Linked DNA regions of Nothobranchius furzeri. The protein of the gene in region 3 interacts with the protein of the main gene of each other region in a pairwise test. Links are inferred from orthologs where the notes say so. Each region holds a gene or a part of one and is shown on either strand. Other genes may lie near its edges. The genes, in order: ech1, acot8 and pex5.

What was found.
Region 1: the proteins of pex5 (region 3) and ech1 interact in a two-hybrid assay, tested with the Homo sapiens proteins (2 studies listed by BioGRID and IntAct, with this or other methods). The link is inferred for Nothobranchius furzeri from reciprocal best matches to the Homo sapiens genes PEX5 and ECH1.
Region 2: the proteins of pex5 (region 3) and acot8 interact in binary tests that used the Homo sapiens proteins (3 or more experiments, as listed by UniProt). The link is inferred for Nothobranchius furzeri from reciprocal best matches to the Homo sapiens genes PEX5 and ACOT8.

What each region holds. Positions count from the first base shown.
Region 1 is NC_091753.1:47,221,907-47,224,584, reverse strand, and holds the end of ech1 (delta(3,5)-Delta(2,4)-dienoyl-CoA isomerase, mitochondrial), read left to right. Parts: coding exon 1-95; intron 96-172; coding exon 173-221; intron 222-507; coding exon 508-572; intron 573-722; coding exon 723-793; intron 794-885; coding exon 886-957; intron 958-1,230; coding exon 1,231-1,381; intron 1,382-1,510; coding exon 1,511-1,615; 3' UTR 1,616-2,017; coding exon of another isoform or gene 2,018-2,059; 3' UTR 2,060-2,133; downstream 2,134-2,678. Other genes in the region: cep295 (serine-rich adhesin for platelets), read right to left, coding at 2,018-2,059, 2,134-2,230, 2,299-2,395, 2,603-2,678. UniProt on the Homo sapiens protein: Isomerization of 3-trans,5-cis-dienoyl-CoA to 2-trans,4-trans-dienoyl-CoA.
Region 2 is NC_091743.1:41,527,089-41,529,987, forward strand, and holds the end of acot8 (acyl-coenzyme A thioesterase 8), read left to right. Parts: coding exon 1-31; intron 32-1,561; coding exon 1,562-1,680; 3' UTR 1,681-2,326; downstream 2,327-2,899. UniProt on the Homo sapiens protein: Catalyzes the hydrolysis of acyl-CoAs into free fatty acids and coenzyme A (CoASH), regulating their respective intracellular levels. Displays no strong substrate specificity with respect to the carboxylic acid moiety of Acyl-CoAs.
Region 3 is NC_091745.1:74,164,735-74,169,110, forward strand, and holds the start of pex5 (peroxisomal biogenesis factor 5), read left to right. Parts: upstream 1-1,559; 5' UTR 1,560-1,764; intron 1,765-3,279; 5' UTR 3,280-3,321; coding exon 3,322-3,435; intron 3,436-3,521; coding exon 3,522-3,560; intron 3,561-3,674; coding exon 3,675-3,792; intron 3,793-3,902; coding exon 3,903-4,049; intron 4,050-4,158; coding exon 4,159-4,243; intron 4,244-4,376.

The DNA.
Region 1 (2,678 bases), on a different chromosome or scaffold from region 3:
TCCTCCAGCCGAAAGGCGACGACGTGGCAAGAATCTCCTGGAACCTCAGAAAAACCATCACCAAATATCAAGAAACGTTCTCCGTCATAGAGAAGGTCAGAGCTCCTCATCACATGCATTGGACAAATAATGACGCAGGAATGTTAATGAAGTTATTCTTATCTGCTTGTAGTGTCCAAAGCCTGTTGTGGTGGCTGTTCACGGCGCCTGTATTGGAGGAGGTAGGGCACAAAAGAAATTCTCAAGTGACGTTCACCAAGAAGTATCTTTAGATAAAATACTAAAACTGAGACGAACTTGCTGAAGCCATGATTTGTGCTTCCTATAGGATTCACCTGTTGCATAAACAGATTTAAACACTGAACCACTGTTTTGTTTCTTTTTGAGTCACTAATTTTAAGATAGAAAACGCACAGTTAGCATGATTGAAATGTAAGTTTCATGAATTTGATTTTAGTAGAAGAAAATTAGTCAATGAGTTCAATATTAATGTTTATTTTATTTCAGGTGTTGACCTGATTACGGCTTGTGACATTCGTCTCTGCACCCAGGATGCCTGGTTTCAGGTTAAGGTGTGTTAAGCTGATTTTATCATTTGGTGAAATAAAAAATAAATTAAGACAGCAAGAATTACTCCTTTCCAAAGTTAATGATTTTTTAAACTAATATAAATGTGTAGAGATGTTTCCATAGCACTGGGTTTGTGTATTTTGACTGGACAGGAAGTTGATATTGGACTTGCAGCAGACGTTGGAACTCTGCAGAGACTTCCTAAAGTCATAGGCAGTCGAAGGTGAAACTTAACATTTTAACAAACTGGGGTTATGGTTCTTGTTATTTTCTGTTGAAATCCATGTTTATTGTAATTATCTCTTGCTTTTTTAGTCTGGTGAACGAGTTGGCGCTTACAGCCAGGAAGATGTTTGCAGATGAAGCCAAGAGCAGTGGACTCGTCAGGTAAAACACATTCCTGATTACCAGCAGGATCACACGTACGGGCTAAAATGGACTGCGGTTGTTAGTCAAGTCAGAGAAAATACTGTGTCATTAAGTTGGCTCCCAGTTTAAGTTAGGGTAGACTAGATCTAAAATGAGAAAAAGCTGCAGAAGTCCAACAAAACCATGGAAAGACCTTTAGGGAAATTGATCACTTCAACTGAAGATTAGAGGCAAATTCAACTCCTTAAACTTTCAAACTACAGCAAAGAAACCTTTTTTCCTCCCCTGCAGCCGCGTGTTTGCAGATAAAGAGGCGATGATGGCTGGAGCCCTTGAGATGGCGGGACAGATCGCTTGTCGCAGCCCTGTGGCTGTGCAGGGAACCAAAAAAAACCTGCTCTATTCCAGAGATCACAGCGTGGCCGAGGGACTGAACTATATGGTAAGAGCACATCAGATTAATATCGAGCTACCAGGATTTTTGTAGTAGGTGCTACATTCATTTTTATCAGAAAATTGCTATTCCTGTTAGTTCCTTGTGCTAAAGTTGACTCTGTTGACACTTTTCCAGGCCACATGGAACATGAGCATGCTTCAGACAGAAGATGTGATGAAATCAGCTCAGGCTGCCATGGAGAAGAAGAGTCCCAAAGCAGTGGTTTTCTCCAAACTGTGAGAGCAGCAGCAGGTTCCACCTGTCCGCTGTGGCCTTTGTGTGAGAAGATGAATTGTGTAGTTTTCAGTCTTTACTGGGCTGCTAACACCAAAGCTGAATGTAGACGTGTGTCTCCCATTGTGAACAGTTTGTGCAAAGTAGCAGGAAGCACAAATACCATTTTTACGCACGTCGTAACAAATGTTTTTTTTGGGGGGGGGGGACGGGGGGGACGGACCCCACCTATTTTCTGTTGATTTTTATCATCTTGAATTTAGCCATTTGATTGAATTTGTTAATGTTTTGCAAATCAAAAATGGATTTTCACAGCAAACTGTTTCAATAGTTTATTGATTTAAAAAAAACTAAAGTGAAATAAATTAAATTAAAACACTAAGATAATGTGACGAAGATGACTTAATGTCACTGTCGAGTCTGCTGGGCACGAAGCTTCTGTAACGTTTTCTGTGGAGAGAAAAATTCATCGTCAGCACAAATGTTAACAGGACTGAATTTTTCGGTATAAAATTAAATATTACCTTGTGGAACTCCTTTGCCTTCATCCGGTTTTTGGCATAATCCTCTTGTCTGGTCTTGGTTTTCTGCTGCTTCACCTCCTCCAGCTGCTCATAAAGTCTGCAGAGAAAAGTCTAGATGAATCCTCCTGAGTGGAAGGAGTGGAAGTGAAATTATCCAAATGGTACCTCTGAGTTCTTATGTGCATCTCAGAAAGATTATGTTTCCTTTGCTCAGGTGTGCAGATCTTCACCTTATCTGCATTTTTGAGTCTGAAGTTTCTCACTGAGGGGAAAAACACATGCAAGTTAAAACAAAAGCTGCAAATTAATTTACATTCACAAAAAAAAAAAAGAAAAAAAAGGAAAGGATGCACAGGCATGGTAAAGGAAAACGTGTTTTGTGTCCAAAAGGTCCCTACCTCTGGGTCTTGTGATTTTTTTTCATGGCAAAAGGAAACAATAAAACATGCATTATGTGTAAAATCAGTACCTTGAGGTTGAACATGCGTCTTCGCCCGGGTTTCTGTCTTTTGTTGAGGCTCTGGTGAAGCTTTTTCCACACAGGT
Region 2 (2,899 bases), on a different chromosome or scaffold from region 3:
ATGCTGTATGAATGTGAGAGTCCATGGGCAGGTCAGCACGTTTTTTATTGTTTTTTTTTCTCAGACACTTTCAATATTCTCTAAGACTTGCCGCTGACTGCTCTCAGTCCCAGGGTTTGATTTGTTTTCCTCTGTTTCCTGAGTAAAAACACTAGAGCAGACCAAAACTGCCAAGGTCATCGTCCTTGTGGACCACAAAAATGTCAGTCGTAGAAACGAGCCATTAACAAGCACGTTCGCATGCACAGACACACTGCAGGAGGTAGCGGGTTGTCCGGTAATCTGAGGGTTGCAGGTTCGATCCTTAACCTGCCTCACCTGATGGTGGTGGTCTGAGGAAACGATGGCGCCAGGGTTCGGCAGTAGGTGGGTTCAGGTTGCTGCATTGTAGCTCATCCCCACCAGCGTGTGAATGGGCACCTTGGGGGGTTGTAGAACCCTAAGAAGGCGCTATACAAACACAGGTCGTTTACCTGAACTGGGCTATGTTCTCTGAAAGGCTCGGTAGAGTCGCTGATTGGGACTTGTGTTTAACACGTGCTGATTGGCTGTAACTCAGTAGGAAGTTGCATCAGAAAACGTCGCCAAAAACCCGCATTTGGAAAATTGGAAGAGTAGCTGGTGAAGAAGAGTGAAAAGAAAACATAAGAGCAACGTTCCCCTTTGTTTAAAATGGCCGTTTCTAAACCCCCAATGTCTAAAACGTGGTGGAACTCCCCCACAGTACTATGATTACTAGGGCTGCACCGATACCAATATCTTTATCGGTATCAGCAAAAGTTAGCCAATACCAGTGCAGTTGCCTGAAATTAGCTTCACTGTAACTTGTCATTTCTGTTCACCTAAAATTTTAGTTTTGTGATCATTTTAATTCATATATTTTATTTTTATCTTCCTCACAGACTTTTCCTGTTGAAAGCAGAGAATAAAGTAAAACCTGTATTCCAGTTCATGGCATTTTTGTATGGTAGAAGTATCAGTAATCAGTATCGGCGAGTACTCAGATCCAAGTATCAGTATCGTATCGGATAAAAAGTGTTATCGGTGCATCCTTGGTAATTACCAGCGCTTTGCTGGAGAACCATAAAAAAGATGCTTTTTCTGATCATGAGATGCTGCGTTTTGCATCACACAGCACTTCTGCCAGTCCCCTGAACAGACTAAATGACTGCGTACTTTGACAAATAAAACCTCTAATGTCATTAATGTCCTTGGATACTTTTTGGCGCTGATCTGTGACATCACTCACTGCTGAAGTAGTCACAATATGCTTACTTCTGTGCAAAGTCCTGAAAGTGCTGCATTTGTGTGGAGACGCACCGGCAGGGAGGACCGAGCCATCCTCTCTCCTGGTCCCTTTTCCCACCCAGAAATATTTCCTCAGCTCCTATGGTGGGAACGTAGCTGTGGACGCATTTAATTATTACACATTTTTTCTCTCAACGAAACAAAACTCGTGTTTGTTTAACACAGTATCACACAACATGTGATAAAAGTAGAAGTCGAGTGCACGGTGATGGATTTGAACTTGAAAGACCTTTTCTTTGTTCTGTGTCTACAGGGAGCAGTAGAGGCCTGGCACAAGGCCGGCTGTGGAGGAGAGATGGAGTCCTGGCTGCTACGTGTTCCCAGGAGGGGGTCCTGAGAGTCAAACCCGTCACACACACCAGCAAACTTTAGCAACACCAGTTATACCGATTATTATTATAACCGCCATCTTTCATTCTGCCAATAACATTTGACAAGATTAACAAGACTATTTAATAATGTCATGATCTGTATGTCTTAATGAAAGACTTATAGTCTCACATGTGAAATTATTAATGATCTCAGTTCCTGATTATGCTGGAAAGACTAACCAGTAGGGATGTAAGAAAATATCGATATGGCAATATATTGTGATATTTTTTCCAGCAATATTATATTGATATTCAAAAGCTGTGTATCGGAAATATCGATATGGCAATATATTGTGATATTTTTTCCAGCAATATTATATTGATATTCAAAAGCTGTGTATCGGAAATATCGATATGGCAATATATTGTGATATTTTTTCCTGTGATTATTACATCGATATTCAAAAGCTGTGTATCTAAATCTTGAAAGAATTTACATGCAAACATTTGTGTATTTTTTTTTCATTTTGTGCAATTCAATCGCCACCCGCTAGTTGGCAGCAGTGTGCAATGGGTTTTGTTTCCACCATTGAAATGTAAATCCCTCCATCATGGTTCAGATACCTCATGTTAAACATGTTACGTATCAGTTTGGACTGTTTATTGAACATTCTTTCAATAAATTCAGTAAAAAAAATTGTAACGTCTGACTGAATGTATCGCAATATATCGTGATATATCGTATCATCTCCCCTGTATCGTGATATGTATCGTATCGACAGAATTTCAAAAATGCACATCCCTGCTATTTGGCCATGGCTACAGATGGGTTTGTCACATGGCCAGTGTTGACTCTGCTAATTGGATGTTATTAAATGTAAAATGGAATGAAAATCTATTTATACAAATGTTTGCATTTGGCAAAAACAAGTTCTATAACTACATTTTTATTTGTAGAGAATATTTTTAAAATGTTTAGGTTTCACTGGCTTAAATCCCTATATTATAACAACCTGCCCTCACAGCCCTCCATTGTTTTGTTTTTGTTAGTATTAAGTAATAATTAAGTTAACCTTTATTCCACTTTCATGGCTAAAACAGTTTTTCTACCAAAGAATTGGATATTTTTTTAAACTTTGTTTACTGAAAAACTCATTTTTGCTGTTTACAAATGTTTACTTTCTAAAATCCACCAGCAGAGAAAAGTAACCTAATTTACATGTTACTGCCCTCTCAGCATTCCATTGGAATGGCTTGTTGTAACAACCCTGAAAATCAAC
Region 3 (4,376 bases):
GTTAAATTCAGGTCCATCTTCAAAATTCTCCTCCATACCTTCAAAGCTATCCACAACCTCTCTCCTCCATATATCTCAGACCTTATAAGTATTCACACCCCGTCCCGTTCACTCAGATCTTCTTCTTCCATCCATCTTGCGGTTCCTTCTGCCCGTCTCGCTACCATGGGGAGCAGAGCTTTCAGCCGCTCTGCTCCTCGACTCTGGAACTCACTTCCCCCAGACATCAGGAACGTTGACAGTTTTACCCTTTTCAAAACAAAACTCAAAACACACATGTTTAAATCTGCCTACAACCTCTGATTTTATTGAAATGTTTCTCTCTGTTTTTTCTTCTTTGGGTTTTATTATTGTTTTATTGTATTTTATTACGTGTTTTGTGTAAAGTGACCTTGGGTGTCCTGAAAGGTGCTTTTAAATAAAATGTATTATTATTATTATTATTACTCACACCTAAGAACAATTTAGACAGACCAATTAACCAAGAGAACCCATGTGTGCACAGGAAGAACACGCAAACTATTTGAGGCCAGGATGTGAACCCAAGACCTTGTAGCTGCAAGGCAATGGTGGTAGCCACTGCACCATTTGTCATTCTTACATATTGGACCTTTAATAATAATAATAATGGTGTTTTCATTCAAAAATCCACAGATATTTTGCATTTTTTAATAATATGAGCGTATTTTCCAGTTTAGTGCATGCTTCTGTTAGATTTAGGAGCTAGAATTTGTTAAATCAGGCTGTTGAACTGCAGGTTTCTTGTTTACAAAAGTATGAATGAGCAAAATTATTATTACCTAATGAGAACTTTGACGGTTGTTCTTTTTTGTATACAGAGCTCAGTATCTCTTTTATTTGTCCAGAACAACCAAAAATGTGAACTCATCTGACCACAGAACATATCCACTGTTTTTTTGTCCATCTGAGATGAGTTAGTGTCCCAAGACCTCATCATTGTTTCTACACAGTGTTGATTTATTGCTTCCTCTTTGCACAGCAATTTTACATTCCTGGATGTAGTCATGGCTTTTGTGCAGTGGTAATGGTTTTCCAAGGGGCCCCCAAGAACACTTGGCTGATCTGATCACTGTAACATGAAGAGTCTTCGTGCTCAAAAGCCTGAGGACTTGAAAACCGTAAATACCTGAATGATGGTTTGCAGGTTTGACCTTTATACTTTGAGACTTTCCCAAACTATCCTTTTCCCCAAATGTTGAAAGACTTGGGTTCTTTGGTCAGCTGCACTGAGGATCTTTATTTTTTTCCACCTGGATATTTCTGACTCCACCCAAGCTGCAAAGACAACCTGTGAGGCTTTTCTTTATATTGGCTGACTAATTAGTCAGTAAATTATTAGTTAAACTAAAAACACAAGATAGGTTTTCCTAAAATAAAAGACTCCACAGAAGGGAACATCTCTTGCTTTTGTTGGACTTTAGTCTCTTGCACATATTTTTACGTAAACGTACGTGCTCTTTTGCCTTTAGAAGCCCGACTTCCACGTTCGTAAATATTTGAAGAATACAACTACGTAGAGTACGTAGAATTACGAGCCTCTTGCAGCTCGGTGAAAGGTTTTGTGGGTCATGGAGGAGGAAGGTAAATAGAAAAGAGGCGCTACTACGAACACACAGCGGAGGCTGTGAGGCGGTGCTGGAGGATTTGTTCTGACCCAGCTTTAGCCCAGAAAGGATCCGGCGAGGACGGAAAACAGAGCGGCGCGGAGCGACTGTTCGGCTACAGCAGGAGGAGCTGTCGGCGGTGAGATGAACATCACGCTACCCCGTAAACACACTCCTCCTCCGGGTGGAGACCTGTGCACTGGCCCTGGGTTGCTAGCTTGCCAACTAACACTTAGCACATCTATTTTAAAAGCTAAATTGTTGCTAATTGTTTTCATCTTCTTTTTAATGTGCTGTTTATTGAGCCCACACGAGGCTACAAGAGATAACAAAGCTAATGTTGTTGCTGGGTCTTTAGCTAGTTAGCGCGTGGGCCATTAGATATCTGAACGCTGACTGACAGGTGTGCACAATTCAAAAACATCTTTTTTATGATTTCAGTTTTTTTCCACAAAAGTGGGCCATCTGTATTAAAACTACAGCATGTCTCTTGAGTAGATGTGTTGTGTACAAACATGTGTCACAGTGGCCTATCAGTGATAATGTCTGTATTAATATCTTTGTCTAAGCCTCTTACTTTGACCCTAATCATAATGCAGCAGCTGTGTGATTCAGTAGGAAAACTCACGTCCACATTCTGCATGAGAGCAGCGACTCCGTCCACCTGCATGGACGGGGTTGTGTAATGCTGTACTTGGTGGTTTAGATACAAAATAAGAGCTGAGTGGAATTAAAAATCTGTTCCACGCATTTCATTATGGAAATTGTTTCACATCCCTCCAGGGAGAGTTGGAGATTTTGAGTAGGCTAAATGTACCCTTTTGTCAGCTGTTCATTCTTGGGCATGGAGATCAGTGATCAGCAGTAGTTCTATTGTTTGTATATATGTTTAAATTGTGCTGTTACTCTTATTTTGGCAGATCAGGTGAGTGACACAAATGATTTACTTATACCAAATAATTCCTATAAAATAACTGTAATCTGTTATTTTTATTTTGCAAATATTGTTGCCCTTTCCTCTCATCGACAATGTTGCTGCTAAAATGAGCCGAACTTACTGGAAGCACGGAGCAGATGATATTTGTGTGCCTCCTAGGCCATTGCTTTCTCATTAGTAACGGTTCGAAAAAGCCAGGAAGTGATGTAAAAAATGACAGATGGGAGTTTAAACTCGTCGATGCAACGTGAAGCCACTTGTGCAGCTTCCAGGTTTCTCTTTTCTGACCCATTCACTGTAAAATCAAAGCAAAAATTATTTGAGTTGTCCTTCGGACGTTTAAAAACAAATCTGCAGTAAAAATAAACCTCCTTTTCATTGTGCTTTGTTCAGAACGTGTCTGTTAAGGTACCACTTGGGGATTTACTATGCGTAGGTACAGAAGCATCTGCAGTCCAGACAACCTAGCCAGCTGCTGTGGAAAATATGTTTTTGATTCACACTGGCCAATGATTTAGTTCAAGCTTGTTTAAAATATTTGAAAGAAATCTGCTTAAGCAGATAAGAGGACGAAAGCGTCACCAAGCATTTGTAACGGTGTTAGATCTCCTGTTATTATTAACCAGCTGTGCTGCACTAACAGCAATGGGGGTGTTACTGTTATATTGAGAAGGTTTAAAACAAACGCAGCAGTAGAAGATTTCCTTCTGTTCGTAGTCCTAGGTGGTGTGGTTGGCTTTGCCTCATCCTTGTGTTGCCATGGCGATGCGGGAGTTGGTGGAGGCGGAATGTGGGGGGGCCAATCCCCTCATGAAGTTGACCAGTCACATGACCAAAGAAGAAGGAGCATGGCGGCACCGCTTGACACCCACAGTGAGTTGTGTTTCTTTTTTTTTATTTTATTTTAATTTTTTTTTGTTTAGCTGCATCATTTATTTATTTATTTGAACTTTTTTCAGATTCCCCCCACACCCATTGAAATTGCAACAGAGGAAGAGGTCGGTGATGTTTTTCGTCAGGCATTAGAATATTATTCTTACCACGTTTCTGATTTCTGGATGTAATCTCTCAAATAGCCACTTTTAGCCTTTTTTTGTGTTTTTATGTTTTAGTTGGTAAATGAATTCCTTCAGGCGCCTCCGCGACCCCCACACACGTTTGACATGGGTCAGTTGTTGGAAGAAATGCAGCAAATTGATCAGCAGAGCTACAGACAAGCTCCACAGAGAGGTATTTCATGTGTATAATCTTTTATCTTATCTGCTTTATGTCCCAGTTTTAAGAAGTTCCCGTGTGTTAATAATGCAAAAACAGTTTTAAGAAGCATTTCCTGGTCTTAGCTCCAGATGTAGCAGCACTGGCCCTCTCGGGTGACTGGGCGGCCGAGTTCCTCTCGGGTCCCGACTCTGCTGCCACACAGGGGCTGAATGCTCTCGGCGAGGCGGCAGATGCTGATTGGACCAAAGAATTTATCGCTGAGGCTGCAGGTAATTTGAGTCTGTGTTTCACTCCGTGCACTCGTTCTCTCTGTTTTATAATGAGATCCGTGACAAATCTGTCTTTTTTTGCTCACTGTTTTTCCTTCTCCTGCTGCAGATCCTGGACGCTGGGCAGAAGAGTATCTGGAGCAGTCTGAGGAGAAACTGTGGCTGGGGGACCTTGGAGACAAGGAGACTGAATGGTGAGAGCAGAGCTTGAATCGCTTTATGAGTGTCGGTAAAGCCTGAGCGCAGGAAAGACACTTGTGGGGGAGTAAAAGCAGAGAGGAGCACGGGACAAAACAAAAGATGGCCGATCTGAATGCAGAACTAAAC